Schizosaccharomyces pombe: one gene and its partner. The protein of the gene in region 2 interacts with the protein of the main gene of each other region in a pairwise test. Each region holds a gene or a part of one and is shown on either strand. Other genes may lie near its edges. The genes, in order: rti1 and ssb1.

Region 1 (8,086 bases), 530 kb from region 2:
GAGTAGACGAATAACTCCTTATTCTTATATAGTAAACAAACTTTGACCCGAATTTTAGCACCACATTTACTAATGAACTTTTAATTGTACTGTTTTTGAACTTTCTATTTATAGGATAGTTTTTCTGGTTCATCTTCATTAAAAATAAACCTCGTTCACTATCAATGTCTATTCAAGCCATCGTCTTGGCGACGTTTGATGCAAAAGAAGGCTACAACGTCGAGAATTATTATCCTGGAGATTTCAATGTTGAAGGAATTGAATATTTGCTTTTCCCTAGTGGTATACAGGAGTTAGATAATTGTACCATTTTTTTTCGATTTCAAGACCAGTTATGCTTAAGTGTGTTTTCAAAATTGCAACACCCCTCGTTTGAAAGGAGTGCATTTTTTACATCTGTCGGACTCATCCTCAGCGATGATATTAACTTTGGTGAGGCTGTTGTAAAATATGGAGAAACATTACTCTATATCGCGAATGGTCTGTCGTTAGCAACTTTGAAATACAAATTTGGGGAAGACGCTTCTGAAACGTATGCTTCTGAAAAGTGCACATCTCACCAGTTATCAGATAGTGATTTTTTTAAAAGTCTACAAACATCAGCTGTGAATCTTGAATTTGATTCTCTTTTTGAGAAACTTCAAGGGAACAAATTTGCTATCTTAGGTGCCAATTCAAAGGAACTCTCTCAATCTTACGCAACAATTCTGCTCGATCACCTTGGACCGGCTTTTTATTGTCTTTATAAATTTGCACTTCAACGCAAGCGGATTCTTTTGATATCTTCTCATGATGACCAACTGTATTCAATTATCGATATGATTGTTCGACTAAGCTCTATCAAAAGATCATCTGATGCTTCTATACCAATATTACTTTCCGATTTGCACCCATTCTACTCTGTTGGTTTGGCTAATACTAGCACATTACTAGATAATGACTTAGAAGAGGGATGGATTGCTTGCACAACTGATACTGTATTACTTTCCAAGTCTTCACTGTACGACCTTGCGTTATATTGGCCTGACAACTCTTTTAATGCTAATAAATACCCGCAAATTTTCAACTCAAATTCAATCCGTATCAAACCTTCATATGATGACTTAATTAATTTTAAGGGTCTTTCTAGGTATCTATCATTTGACGGGGAAAGTAGTTGGGGGCTTACTACCTATTCTCTGGCTTCTAAATACATTTTTAATACAAGCCATCACAATCTGACAGATCAGGAATTCTTAAATGAGAATATGCTGGATTACTTCCAACGTTACAATCAGAAATTGCTGACCGTTTTGAGTTCAAACGCAGAGTCATTCAATGTTTCAGACATGCAAACATTAGGTTTGAATCCATGTCATTCACTCGATAAATCATTTGTGTCAGAAATTTCACAAATATGGTTAAAAAAACATATCAACTGGCAATACGGTAAATACTTTTGGCTAAGGCGGGTATCTCTAATTTTTCTAGCATCTACATGTTTTTTATTTATACTTTGGAAACTATTGTAGACAAGAGGGATTTACCAATCCCCTAAAATAAAAAACGAGTTTTACCTCGAGCACCGGTTTCAAAGAAATTCCATTTTGTCATTAAAGTAATATATTATAACATATCTTCCTAATACCTTTATTTTATTCATTTTTTATGAGTAGATTTATTCTCTGTTTTTATTGCTTCATACGCTCTGTAAGCATTTCAAGAAGCTTTTCATCAGAGATATCGTCAGAGATACCAAGAGCAACACGATATTGCTTAATCATATCTTCTCTATCTTCAGCAGTTAAACCATCATCTTCGTCAGGATCCACTAACTCGCCATTATATTCATCTTCGGCATCCGAAACAGTTAGACCAACATCCTCTTTATCTTTAGAAACATGCATGTCTTTCATGAGTTTAGAAAGCTGAGCTTCTTTTTGTCTCTCTTTCGTCTGTCGTTGAATTTCTTTCATTCGTTCCATTTCTGGAACATATTCTTCCTCGTACTCCTTAACTTTAGCTTTAACAGCTTCTAAAAAATCATCCATGCCTTCACCTGTCACAGACGAACAGGACACGAAATCTAAATGACGATAAAATTCCTCAAGCATTAAAGACATACTGTTTACCAACGAACCCATATATCCAGATGTCGCACCCTCAGAACTCATACCTTCGTCTTTAGTCACAGCTTGCTGGAACTCTTCAAAATCGGTCATCCATTTCTTCGCAAATTCGCTATCTTGAACATCACATTTATTATAAACAATGATAAGTGGGAGCTTGGCTTTATAGAGCATAGAGCATGCATAAAGCATAGATGACATCCATGTTGAAGTAGATGTTGCCCTTGGCGTATCGACAACATAAGCGATGCATGTTGGCCAAGAACTGGCAAGTGTATCGCATATGATACTTCCAGAGGCAGACCATTGAAAAATTTCTATTTGTCCAGGAGTATCTATCAAAATGTGATCGACTGTTGGTGCACGTTTTTCCAAAATTTTTAGTACTTGATCAAACTTTGTAACAAATAAGTTTAAACTTGTCATAATACCGCCATTTGGCCCCAAGTTATATCTAAATGAATTAGAAAATTTCCCAAAATCTTGTAACTCTGGAATAGACAAACGTACTGTTTCATAACCTCTTTATAATTGATTGTATCACGAATATCGATATTTGCCTCATAGGGTAAATTTCGAACAGCAGGATCCAAGTTTAAAATGTAAGGAGGTTTATTTTTTGAATGAAGGTGTGCATTCAGTTGTTGCATGAAGGTGGTTTTGCCTATTACATGAAAATGATTAGAAATTGCTGCGTTGAGTGCTTTATTGGTTTTTCAATTATAAAAAAATTCATACCTGAACCGGCCATTCCTACAACTATGATGGCACAAGGCTTCTTCTCTTTATCTGTCATTTTGATCTACTTATTTGAACCAAGTGGAAGAAGAGGTGAAAGGTCAGTTCAAAAAACTACTGGGTAACACAAATTGAATTGAACGTCTTAAAAATTCATATTAATTATTCATATTAATTCTGTTTAAAGTATATTAAAAAAATAAATTGATTCATGAACTCGAAAATCGAAATTTTGCATTCAATAGAAGAAAGATAGTTAGTTAAATTCACTGAGACGTTCGTTGTACAGCAATTTATTTCGCAAGCAGTTTAAAAGTTTATACCATTGAACGTTTCACTCAATTTTATTTTTTTTATTTCGTTGAGAACGTGTTTGCAGAGTTGTTTGAAGTTAACGAAGGACGTCGTATAGGCATGGATCTGTTGTGGTCTATATTAGATGATTTTAGTATAGAATTACTCTTTTTGTGCAACTGAAATGCCATTCCCTCGTGCTTTATATGTGGGTTTTCTGCTGCTGCTACACGTGCATTCATAAATTGTACTGGGGGAATCTTGACAACCTGAGCTTCGGTCATTTTATCGTGTGCGTCAATTTTGTCAACAGAAACTTTTTCATCTCCTTCAAATTGGTTTAATAATCTATTAGTTAGTCGGCATTCGCACGCATTGATCGGTCTGTCTTACTCCTCGAATTCTTCTACCCTAGGTGACTCAGGAATAGGCGGGCGCTCGTGATGCATAAGGATGCTGTCCAGTTCTTCATCTATATTTTTATGTTTAGTTTTTCAATTTGGTCATTAATAAATTTTTTATACCTGCGTAAAGGTCTGTTTCTGAATGGCTTTGAATGGGGGGATTTTGCAGAGCTGGCAGACTTTCATGAATGTCATTCTCAATGAGATCTGATATAGGTTTATCCACATTGGAAATTTTCTTCTCTATTGAATTTTTATGTTCTAGCTTAACACTTTTATTTGCATGGCTTTCTATAGGGGTAGATACTTTCTGAGCGAACCGTGCATAGGGTCTTTTGTTTGCGCGTAAAAGGTTGTCGTAGTTGAACTCAGCCTAATTTTGCATTTCTGTCAGCTTAATTATTTTTAAATTTTATGTGTTTCCATATTACCTGGGCAGGTGCCATTTTCAAGATTTTTTGAATATAGCGTTTGTCGTAAAGGCAGTTACCCATGCTACTTCCAAAGTTTCGAAGAGCTCTCTTTAATGCGTCCGTAGTTCCTTCCTTTTTACATTTTTCGTAAGCTAATGCCTTCACTCGACAATTCTCTATAGATCCATATCCAACGTCCTAGAAAAACCATTTGTTAGCAAGAAATTGGCCACAATCTGATATGGAATAGTTAAGAACGAAAAAGTTATGAATTATTTCGAAAAAAATACCATTTGCTATAATTAATTTAACCGGTATCACGAAATATTACTGAGGACATGTTTTGTTTACCTCATGAAAGGAGCCATCCTTTAATGTAACGCGTACAATAACGCTGATTCCAACATTAAACTTTTTCTCTTTCGTTTCTTCTACCTTTTAATAATGATTAGTAAAAATAAATAAATATAGGCTCAAGAATTGATACGATTTGCACTTTTTTCGTAGAATTTTGACGCAAAATTAACACTTACATAATCGACATGAATGTCTTGAATGGAAGAAGACCACCCATTAAATCCAAATATTTCATTTGCGAGCTCAATTGCTTTCCATGCTTCTAAGTATGTAACAGATCCTCCTCCTGGACCACTTCGGCGAGAAATATACTCTGGGCCAAGTTGCATAGCAAGCAGTTTTGTCATCTTATCCTGTTGCGAATCAGTAAACTCTTCACAAGACGATTGATCAGGTAGCGAGCCCATTTTGAAAATGTTTTGGGGATCTTAATTTAAAGGAATGTTAAAAGAAGAATAATGGGTTTTTTATACGCGTCTTTCGCCACGTCACATTTGTTTGTTTACGCGTCTGTAAACATTGGACCTTGACAATTGAATGAACAAAAAAAAAAAAATCTAGCAAATTTAAAATGCAAATTAATAAAAAATCTCAATTTATTTCCTTAAACAAAGGCATGATTTTATAACGCAGAAAAAAAAAGCTTTTAAACATATAAGATTTCGAGAAGATTATGTCTGTTCTATTATACACTAAAAGAACAATTGAGCTTGCTAGTCACTTTCCTTCGACCTTACATTTAAGAACGTATTTGCTTTGTGTTACCAATTTATAAATGCTTGGTACACTCCAGAAAACAAAACAAACAGTAATGTGCTCTATGGTGTGCATAAAATTACTCATGGGCTGCTAGAAAGAGATTTAATTTTTTTAGGCAATTTCTTTATTTGTAAAATGATTTGCTTTGACATGTATTTCTTTAGAGATAAGTATTTCGATTTTTAATATTTTTGTTTATATATATGTAAATACGACTCTTAGGAAAATTATATATAAAAAAACCCAAATTTTCATTAACTAAAAATAATAACAATATTTTCTATAAATAAACTGCGCTGCAGAAGCTAGCAAAAACAAACCTGGTCTTATTAATTCCATCACCCACTCGTTTTTATTGTTTGCCCTTGTGCAATTGCTAGGTTAACGACTCAAAATTTGGCGTAACGCATAATATTTTAGGTAAAAATTTGTTTTTGATTAATAATCTGCAATTAAACTCTAATATACCAATTTGCTACCTAACTATGAAAGACATGTTTTACAAAGGAAATTGACTGCACTTCAACTTTCAGCTTCTTAATACCGTATATCAATTACAATCAATAGTATGAAATTCTCAACAGAACTGATTACTACTGGACTCAGTGTACTTTTGAATACAATAGTTCCAAAACTAATAAAGAAAATACTGAACATTCATGCAAAGCTTTTCCTAAACGTAGAGGTTCGAAATTTGACTTAACAGTTACAAATTTTATTTATTTAAAAATGATAAAAATCAATTGACATTTACAGTATTTTTTTTCATTCATTCAAATTTTTATTGTTTAACTGCGACTGATGTAGTTAATATGTATATGTTATATATTTTTTAGTGACAGACTTGGACACTATGCCTGAGTGGTTAAAGGGACAGACTAGAAATCTGTTGCGGTCTCCGCGCGCAGGTTCAAATCCTGCTGGTGTCGAATTTTTGCCAAAATAATGTTTTTGCATGTCGAAGTGAAAATAGACTAATTAAGAAGGAATACCATTCAATTCTTTGATTATAAGTATATTCTTACAAGTTTTCTACAAAGGTGAGTCCAATGAAAAGATGTTCATATCATTTTACTTAGTATGATCTTAGTCAACTACCCTTTTAGAGAATTATTGGTTTGCCAGCAAAAGGATATGCCGAATCATATGTTCTTAAACAACACCTTTAGAAGTGTATACTTGCTTCATGGCAGAGATATTTCGTTACCTACAATTCTGATAAACTTACAATTGCACAGATGCTTATCACTTTTTCACCCGTTTTAAAAGAAGAGCTTTATTCCATGGTACTGCTATCTTTCAAAGCAACCTTAAAAATCATATATCCAAAGATGCTCTTACTTTAATCTTCTTTGCGTGCTGCTTCAAGAAGAGGATCTATTTTTTTCGTTTTCAAAGCCTTCAAAAGACATGATTTGTACTCGGCAAAGAGCTCATCACAGTCTCTATTATGGAGATCACCTTTTAAGAATTTATTCGCATACCAATCGTTAAAGCAGGCATCATACTTCTTCTGTTCATAATTTAGTCAGCTAAAATTCGTCCACAGTGTTTATCATATAAAGAAAACTCTACCTTAGCAGGGGTACATTCTTCACTAACAGAGGACGACATAGTTGGATTCAGTAATCTTGATACTTTTCCAAACTGTTGAATGAATGAATTTTCTCCAGATCAATTAAACCAATTTCCTTGTCAAGGAAAAAAAAAATGAACGAAAAAAATTTAACAAACTTGAAGAAATGAATCAAGCAGTTTTCGATCCCAATTCCCTATGACCGTAGTAACGTGGTTGTCTAGTATGTGTAGAGCACTAAGCAAAATACCCCATGCCAGTTCAAGTTTGACACTCCACTTGGAACTTGTCAATAAAGCGAATTTGAATCTTATTTTTACTTATTTATTTGCATTAATCTTCAAATTTGCACGATTAGTGCTATTAAGCCTATAAAAAGTTGCAGTTCTATTAAATAGCCACATACATCTATTTTGTACATTACTATCCTGGCGTTTGCTGATTACGTCCTATTTTTGAATTATTCATTAGTCTTTTTTTTAGTGAAATCTTAGACTTCCAGAACCAGCTTTGTTATTTTTTTTTCTTTTTCTGGCAACTACGCTTGACAAAAAGTTTTTCATTAGGCAAGGATTTTAACCAATATAATGTCACTGGCAGATGAATTATTAGCTGATCTTGATGATATTGAGGAAACTACAGAATCTACAATTACTGATGAACTTGGGCCAGATGCGAAGAAAAGGCGGTTAGAGTTACAATTAGAGGAAGGAAATGGCATTTCTGCTGAATTAGAAAACGATTTGGATATTACCAAAATTAGCGATTCTGCTCAAAAATTGCCTAGTGAAGTTGCTAATAAATTTAATGACAATAATGAGAACATTTATCAGCTGTTGAATTCTACACGTCTTCGCGATATCATAGAAGGAACTGAGAAATATAAAGGCACCGAAAAACAAGCTATCACTGGAAACATCGAAGATGATCTCGAATATCACCTTATCGTGGATTCTAATTCAATTGCGATGGAAATTGACGATGAAATCCTGCGGCTGCACAGACTCGTGAAGGAATGGTATCATGACCGATTTCCTGAATTAAGTAGTTTGGTCTTGAATGCCTTTGACTATTGCAAAACTGTTAGTTCTCTGTTAAATGATTTAGACAACAGCAAAACCAAACTTTCCTTTCTTCCTTCTGCTACAGTGATGGTTATTGCTACAACAGCAACGACAACAGTGGGAAAGCCTCTTCCAGATGAAATGATAAAAAACGTTAAAAATTGCTGTGAGGCAATTCAGCAATTGGGTGAAGAAAAGCAAAAAATTATTGAATATGTCCAATCAAGAATTAGTGTCGTAGCTCCTAATTTGTCTGCAGTCGTGGGTTCTACCACAGCTGCCAATTTAATCGGCATTGCAGGAGGATTGACTAGACTTGGAAAGTTTCCTGCTTGCAATTTACCAGCGCTCGGAAAAAGGAGGCTGACAACAA
Region 2 (8,876 bases):
AAAATTGCGAAACTCTTCCTCTGTACAGTCGCCAGGAACTCCTCCAACAAACATCTTTGCAGTTTTTTCCTGTTCTTCACGGGGTATAGCACGTTTAGGATCGATCTGATTATTTATTAGTATCTCCTATTCGAAAGTTTTTTAACATACAATTTTACCATCCAGATGATGTTCTTTAGACATCACCTCATTAACACACTTGGGATTTTTAAAAGTTAGAAAGCCAAATCCCCTAGAACGGCCAGTAGTACTATCACGCATAACCGTACAATCGAGGACCTCTCCGAACTGCTCGAAATAATCACGAAGGGAATCTGTAAATCAAACATTAGCATTAAACCAATAAATTTACTCCTAATAGTCTAAATAGCATATATGTACTTAGCACCTGACAACAGAAAGAATAAAGCTTAACGGAAAATGGACGTCGTAATTTACTGAAAAAATTTATATCTAAAACAAGACCATTTTTCCTCAAGCGTATACCGTTCTGGTCGATGGTGTCCCAAACACATAATGTTAAGGTACAATAGGCAAAACAAACAAATCAAAAACTACACTTCCAGCTAACAAATTTCTGATCGACAAAATTTATGCATGCAAAGATAGTTTAAGATGGCGGAAAATTAACATACCATCGGTAGTCTCCCAATTTAAACCACCAATAAACATTTTACTAAAATATCTGGTTAGAATTGAACTACTGGAATTTCCTAAGAAGCTACAGGATATAGTACAATTAACATACCCGTCCTCTCGATTAAAGGGACTAGTTTCCTCTGCATTATCTTCATTTGATTCCATAGCACCGGAACCGGTCAGGGCCGACTGATTTTCATTATAGTTATCATTTTTAGAATTTTCACCGTCCTCGGCATTGTCCCAAGTTGCGGAACTCAAGGCTTGTCCTCTAATATCATACGAAGAAGGATCAGGCGCTTGCTGAGACGTTTCATTTAAATCGTCTTCTTGATTGGCTTCCGCTTCAGCACTGTATTGTTGGTCCGATCCCGAACGGTCAAAATCAGCTCCGGGTTCTTCTCGAAAAGGGTTTTCTTTTGTACGTTCAGCACCCGCTTCTCCCGATTTTTCGAGTTCTTCATAGCCCTCGTTTTCTTTTGTCGGCGTCACATTAGACGTTTCTTGATTTCCTGAAGCTGACTCCACTTTTTTTTCATTTTCCTCACCACTAATTAATCGATAATTAGTACTATAAAAATACATTTCGAAAACTTACTATAGATCCTTAAAAAGCTCGTCATCTTCAAAATCAGAGCCGCCCATCGTGAATTATTTAAAATAAGATATGAATGGTGGTTAAAAGATGGAAACAGTATGGGGTTGTACGTGATACATTCTACCAAAGCGGAGCGTAATACGCTAAATCCTGCACAATTCAGTGAACACTGTTAAGAATAATGGAAAAAGAAACGACAAAGACAAAAAAAGGAGTCGATCCAAATTTACAAGTTTTGCTCTGTTCTTTTGAATATAAATGATTTGTTGATATTATTGCTTGTAACTCAATAACTAAATATGAAAATTTTTACATAATTATATAATCTTACAGCTATACCGGAAGGCTTCATAATTCAGCAATTGTAACGATAGATCAGGCGGAATACGTATACAAAGACAAGGCACTTCCATATTTTGAGTTCCTTAAAACAGCACTTCTGCGAAAGACTAGGAAGCTTAAAATAATTATCCATCACAATATCAGCAATTCCCTGCATAAAAAAAACGCTCAAGTTTTTTCACTAAAACACAAAATGCGACATTAGGTGGATTTTTAAACGTAAAATACCCAGCAGTTGATCAAAAGACTTAGACGATTGACGTTTAGCCGTCAAAAGATGTTCTTTTAAAAATGACCAAAAAGATGGATTGCCAGGGGGTATTAAAAAAAGATCGACCCGGGGTAATTTTTTGCACCAATTGAATTGGGGTAAACACAAGGTCACTCGAACAGACGAACAAAAGAAACATTAAAATTTAAAAATATAAAAATATTGGTATAAAATACAAATTAATGAACCATGGAAGAACGCAAAATTCATTCCCTCATTGTGGGGCTAAAATATTCGCACACAGAATCCCTCAAGTTTCTAACCAACTGTTATGGTCTTCGTAGATAATTGCAGCTTTTTGAGAATGCTCAGAGATGAATATCATTTCCGGCATTGCTAACAAGTCTTGTGTTGTGGGTCGACAATCCACGTACGGATGCGTCATACGCTGAAGCAAACACTGTAATGATTCAGCACACCTCACCTTGTTTATTTGAACCTTTTCTTTCGACAAAAGGAGGTCTTTAAGATTTGGCAAATTTGAGTAATCTCCAGACCTTAGTCGTTGCCATTCAACACCATTTTCTGGCAGGACTACATTTGTTGCGGCTTCAATCATACTGAGGCCTAGTGAATATACATCGGCTGGTTTCCCATAATTATGCGAAGCTAATATTTCGGGAGCTATATAGACTCTGTCGCCTTCGAGATCAACCATCGAGGAGACCGGTAAACTAGTTGCTAGTCCGAAGTCTCCCAACTTTAAGTTACCATCACGAGTTATAAGAACGTTGGAAGGCTTAACGTCTAAATGAACAAATTCTAAAAGATGAATGAAATTTAATGCCTATGTTCGGTTAGTGAATTCAAATGACGTGTCTGTGGAACGCGACTTTTAAATATGTAATAACTTACTTGAGTTAGTTGAAACAACATTTTCCACACGCGAAAAGGATCCATGACCTGCAATAATCCCAATTCGCTTAAAAATAAACTTAGGTCTCCGTTTTCACAATAATCTAATTGCAAAAATATATTATCATTGTAGCTCCAAACGTTCACTAGATTTACTACAAATGGACATGCTTGCAAGCGTTGCAAAATAGATACTTCCTGTAAGTGACGCTCTTTTCCTGTAAACTTGGCTGCATTTTTTTTTAACATTTTTACAACGTAAACCGTTTCAGTAGGTGGGTTGATCGAAGACACATGATATACAAATGAAAAATCACTCTCGTGTATCGGCTTAACTTGTTGGAATCGAATTCGAAGATCACTAGTCCAATCTTCCTCTTCTTCGTAATCATCTGCGCTGTTGATGTTTAAAAAAATTGGACTGGTAGGTGTCCAACTTAATGAAGAAGGTACGTCTTTCTCATCCCAGTTATTAACGTGGGAACTTGAAAGGAAAATAGGCTGACTCTTGCAAGGCGTTTCGCAAAATTCCAACAAGTCCTCTGAACCATAAGACAAAGAAGGAAGTTCTTCCATTTCAAACGTTTCATCCGAGCTGTCAGAGTTTGGATGATCCAACCGACTAAAAGTATCTAGGTCGATATGTTTACATTTGCGAGCTAAAAGAGAGGTAGTGGGTGACAGCGGAGATTGAGGTGGTTTTAATTTTATTTTCGTTCCCTTTTTACAAGGTGTATGAGGTTGTTCACTTCTTGGATTAGTCAAATTCCCTTCCCATAATGACCACTTTTCACGTTTTGATAACAGTCCTGTGCTTAAAGAAGTCACCGCCCTTTTTCGTTTTAAATCAATTGGCGTTGAAGCATCCACAATTTTTTTGGATAACTTCAAGCCGCTCGAAAATGCAAATGGTTTGCTACACCCATCGAGATCTGAATTCTTAAAAATTCCGTGGCGAACTGTAGTGGATAATCTGATGGCTTTTGCATTATTTTGCATAGGGGTATGTGGACTTCTTTTTGTATTGGAAGGTTTAAAGAATGTCAGTTTTGATGACTTATGGCTCTGATTTTCTTCATGGCCAGACGAAAAATTGTAAATGGGTTCATCGTAGAAATTTAATGGAGAATGCTCATTAAACGAAGAGGATATATTAAAAAAACATGGTGTTCGCGTTGGAGTAATTGGGATGGTGGTTGATGAATCCATCTTTAACTGAAACCTGAATGTAAATAAAGTTATATTTTTTTGCTTATTAGCTGTTAAAATCCCGTTTTCACTTTGATATCTCCGGTTTTCCTAAATAATAAATAATATGCAGATGATAATGTAGTTCAACTCTTCCAACAAAAGGAAAATCACAAAGGATTTATTTCCTTTTGTAGAGAATTAAATAACACTACTATTCTTTTCAGCTTTTAAGGGCTTTTCTATAGCAATGTGTTGTGCGCAAAGGATAACTTTGAAAGTAAACAACCATTGTTGACATGCACGTACACAAACAACACATCTTAAAGTTACGCGTAATATTAAAATGTGTTACGACGCGTCATGACGCGTTCGCGTTTTTCATTTGGGATAACGCGACGCGGCTTCGTTCTTTTGCCTTAAACCAACCACTAATTAAAAAAAAAAGAATTTGCAAACATGGCTGAGCGATTATCCGTGGGTGCACTTCGTATAATCAAGTAAGTTAACTGTCCAAATTATATACTCAAAAGATTTCGACAAATTGGGATGTTAACACGTTTCTTTAGTACATCCGATGCTTCGTCTTTTCCTCCTAATCCAATTCTCCAAGTCTTAACCGTGAAGGAGCTAAACTCAAATCCAACTTCTGGTGCTCCTAAAAGATATCGTGTTGTCCTTTCCGATTCAATCAATTATGCGCAATCTATGTTAAGCACCCAGCTGAACCATTTGGTTGCCGAAAATAAACTTCAAAAAGGAGCGTTCGTACAGCTTACCCAATTCACTGTAAACGTTATGAAAGAAAGAAAAATTTTGATTGTTCTTGGTTTGAATGTTTTAACTGAACTTGGCGTAATGGATAAAATTGGTAATCCCGCTGGTTTAGAAACAGTTGACGCTTTACGGCAGCAGCAAAATGAGCAAAACAATGCTAGCGCACCACGAACAGGTATTTCGACAAGCACTAACTCATTTTATGGAAACAATGCTGCAGCTACAGCACCGGCTCCACCTCCCATGATGAAGAAGCCAGCAGCGCCGAATAGCCTTAGCACAATAATCTACCCAATTGAAGGTCTCTCTCCATATCAGAATAAATGGACTATTCGTGCCCGTGTTACTAACAAATCTGAGGTTAAACATTGGCATAATCAACGAGGTGAAGGAAAGCTTTTTAGCGTAAATTTACTCGATGAAAGTGGGGAGATTCGTGCAACAGGCTTTAATGACCAGGTTGATGCTTTTTATGATATCTTACAGGAAGGTTCGGTTTATTATATATCTCGTTGTCGTGTGAACATTGCAAAAAAACAATATACCAATGTTCAAAACGAGTATGAGCTGATGTTTGAACGTGATACTGAAATAAGGAAAGCTGAGGATCAAACTGCCGTCCCCGTTGCGAAGTTTAGTTTTGTTTCTCTACAAGAAGTCGGCGATGTTGCCAAAGATGCTGTTATCGATGTAATTGGTGTACTCCAAAACGTTGGACCAGTTCAACAAATTACCAGTCGTGCAACTTCTCGTGGATTTGACAAGCGTGATATCACTATCGTTGACCAAACAGGATATGAAATGCGTGTTACGCTTTGGGGAAAGACAGCTATTGAATTCTCTGTTTCTGAAGAAAGTATTCTCGCTTTCAAAGGAGTTAAAGTTAATGACTTTCAAGGACGCTCTTTGTCAATGTTAACTAGCAGCACCATGTCGGTAGATCCAGATATCCAGGAATCTCATTTGTTAAAAGGTTGGTATGATGGACAGGGTAGAGGGCAGGAATTTGCCAAACATAGCGTAATTTCATCTACTTTATCTACTACTGGAAGGAGTGCTGAACGTAAAAATATTGCTGAGGTTCAAGCCGAACATCTGGGAATGTCAGAAACACCCGATTATTTTAGCTTAAAGGGCACCATTGTTTACATTCGAAAGAAAAACGTGTCATATCCTGCTTGCCCTGCTGCTGATTGCAACAAAAAGGTTTTTGATCAAGGTGGCTCCTGGCGATGTGAGAAATGTAATAAAGAATATGATGCTCCTCAATACCGTTATATTATAACTATTGCTGTAGGTGATCATACGGGACAACTCTGGCTCAACGTCTTTGACGACGTCGGTAAATTAATCATGCATAAAACGGCAGACGAATTGAATGATCTACAAGAAAACGACGAAAATGCCTTTATGAATTGTATGGCAGAAGCTTGCTATATGCCATATATCTTTCAATGTCGTGCTAAGCAAGACAATTTTAAAGGTGAAATGCGAGTACGCTATACAGTGATGTCAATTAATCAAATGGACTGGAAGGAAGAGTCTAAAAGATTGATAAATTTCATTGAGTCTGCTCAATAAAACATTGTGTTTTACGTCTCGCTGGTCGAGTAATTGAGTTTTTGGCTTAAATCGCGAAAACTACGATTTATGATTTTGCATACATTGATTACAAAGTGACTCCTTTCCTTATGATTTGGTACTTCACTTACATTTAACTAGATTTAAAGTAATTATATATGATCTGAATTTTTGGAGTAATTAGTTCTGTTGCTTACATATTAAAGTTCCTTGATGGGTAATTTACGCTATAATGGCTTGATTGAAATCACCGCTAAAAGAATGCAATGATATCTTTTAATATGAAGTAAAATATACAGTAAACTTATCAATTGTTTTAGAATTGAAACTGTTGAAGAAATAAATTACCAGATTGTTTTGAAGTAAATACGAGTCTACGAAAATGCAATCCTATTTTAACAGGAATATGAACCATGATTTTTTTAAATTTACTTTATAAATAAACAACTTTAATAAGGAAGCGATTTAGATACCAATAACAGCAGGTTACATTCTTTAATTGAGTAATAATAATATAACTGAGCAAAAAGACTGTTTTGCGACAAATTTTGTTAATTACATACAAAATCTTAAAATACAACATTTCTTTGATTAAATCGTACAAATTTATCTTTAAAGATCCTTAATTAGCTCCCCACATTCTAAATGGAATGGAGTAAACTATTTAATCCGTCTCGCAACAACCTTCAGTAAAACCTTGACAACGAGAGATTTAAAAAAGATTAAGCGCTGGTTTTAGTTTTTGTAAAGTCAATGGGGATGCTAAAGAAATGATAGAGTAACGGATATGTTCGAAAAAAGTTCTGAAGCCATGATCTTTTGTAGATCAGATCAGTCTTATCGTATCTCCAAAAAACGTAGATTATAAGTATCTTTCTTGTAAAATTATTGTTATCATTATGATAGAAATCTTTATAATTTCAAAGATCGTCTGTTTTTTGATAGTATATTAATTCCGTTATCCGCTAATATTAATCATTTCATTAGCACCTAACCGCCAACGGTTTCCTTTAGCCTGACGATACACTATTTTGTTAATAAGCCATTGTGACATTTTATAGCAAGCAAACTATCGTCATTATTATTCAATTATTGTAATCCAAAACGGAAACATACAAAGTTAGACTGTCTACTTAACTACAAATTGGGAGTTCCGAAATTCACTGTGATTTAATTTTATAAATGGCTGAAAACAACGTCTACGGCCATGAAATGAAAAAGCATTTTATGCTTGATCCCGATTACGTGAATGTAAATAACGGAAGTTGTGGAACAGAATCTCTTGCTGTTTACAATAAACATGTCCAACTTTTAAAGGAAGCTCAGAGCAAGCCAGATTTTATGTGCAATGCCTATATGCCGATGTACATGGAGGCTACTCGAAATGAAGTTGCCAAGCTGATAGGCGCGGATTCAAGTAATATAGTTTTTTGCAATTCCGCTACAGATGGGATTAGTACGGTTTTGTTGACATTTCCGTGGGAACAGAATGATGAGATATTGATGCTAAATGTTGCCTATCCTACTTGTACATATGCCGCTGATTTTGCAAAGAATCAGCATAATTTACGATTAGACGTTATCGATGTTGGGGTGGAAATTGATGAAGATCTATTCCTTAAAGAAGTAGAACAGCGTTTTTTGCAGTCCAAGCCGAGAGCATTTATCTGTGATATTTTAAGTTCTATGCCCGTTATCTTGTTTCCTTGGGAAAAAGTCGTAAAGCTTTGTAAAAAGTATAATATTGTTAGCATTATTGATGGTGCTCATGCCATAGGTCATATTCCTATGAATTTGGCTAATGTTGATCCTGATTTTTTGTTTACCAATGCTCATAAATGGTTAAACTCACCAGCTGCATGCACTGTACTCTATGTCTCAGCTAAAAATCACAATCTCATCGAAGCACTTCCTCTCTCATACGGTTATGGATTAAGAGAAAAGGAATCAATTGCCGTAGATACTCTTACCAATCGGTTTGTCAATTCTTTCAAGCAAGATTTACCTAAGTTTATAGCTGTTGGTGAGGCTATTAAGTTTCGAAAATCCATTGGAGGGGAAGAAAAGATTCAACAATATTGTCATGAAATAGCTTTAAAGGGAGCCGAAATTATTTCTAAAGAACTGGGCACTTCCTTTATCAAACCTCCATACCCAGTTGCAATGGTAAACGTCGAAGTTCCCTTACGCAACATTCCCTCCATAGAAACACAGAAAGTATTTTGGCCTAAATATAATACATTCCTTCGATTTATGGAATTTAAAGGAAAATTTTACACTAGACTTAGCGGTGCGGTGTATTTAGAAGAATCAGATTTCTATTATATTGCTAAAGTTATTAAAGACTTCTGCTCTCTTTGAATAACTATGCTTCACAATGCATCCTCTGACTCTTTTTATGTGACTCAAAGCACTTAAGTTATTTAATACTCACCTGTGTTTTAGACATTGCAGCACAATAGATTCTAAATCTTAAGAAGCCTATAACATTCGTTTAACTAGTTACTTATATTTTGCGTGAATCAATTATTACAACGTTCACAATTTTGGAAGAAAATGTATATTTTTACTTGAAGCACTTTAACGTTTCAAATGTACAAAGATGCAAAACTATTTTTAACAATA

What was found.
Region 1: the proteins of ssb1 (region 2) and rti1 interact in a two-hybrid assay, tested with the Schizosaccharomyces pombe proteins (one study listed by BioGRID).

What each region holds. Positions count from the first base shown.
Region 1 is NC_003423.3:742,670-750,755, reverse strand, and holds rti1 (DNA repair and recombination protein), read right to left. Parts: upstream 4,722-8,086; coding exon 4,491-4,721; exon of another isoform or gene 4,393-4,490; coding exon 4,309-4,392; exon of another isoform or gene 4,156-4,308; coding exon 3,976-4,155; exon of another isoform or gene 3,918-3,975; coding exon 3,665-3,917; exon of another isoform or gene 3,613-3,664; coding exon 3,534-3,612; exon of another isoform or gene 3,489-3,533; coding exon 3,200-3,488; 3' UTR 3,022-3,199; downstream 1-3,021. Other genes in the region: SPOM_SPBC119.16C (uncharacterized protein), read left to right, coding at 165-1,511; GTPase npa3, read right to left, coding at 1,671-2,562, 2,619-2,772, 2,847-2,904; protein Mdm35, read right to left, coding at 6,416-6,586, 6,649-6,687; U4/U6 x U5 tri-snRNP complex subunit Prp31, read left to right, coding at 7,237-8,086. UniProt on the Schizosaccharomyces pombe protein: Active in the repair of DNA damage and in mating-type switching. Probably involved in the repair of DNA double-strands breaks. Has a role in promoting S phase completion.
Region 2 is NC_003423.3:216,737-225,612, reverse strand, and holds ssb1 (DNA replication factor A subunit Ssb1), read left to right. Parts: upstream 1-4,314; 5' UTR 4,315-4,352; coding exon 4,353-4,393; intron 4,394-4,462; coding exon 4,463-6,251; 3' UTR 6,252-6,431; downstream 6,432-8,876. Other genes in the region: msi2 (cleavage factor complex subunit), read right to left, coding at 1-105, 151-314, 636-676, 749-1,189, 1,238-1,284; M phase inhibitor protein kinase Mik1, read right to left, coding at 2,101-2,637, 2,706-3,914; ergothioneine biosynthesis methyltransferase Egt2, read left to right, coding at 7,434-8,612. UniProt on the Schizosaccharomyces pombe protein: As part of the replication protein A (RPA/RP-A), a single-stranded DNA-binding heterotrimeric complex, may play an essential role in DNA replication, recombination and repair.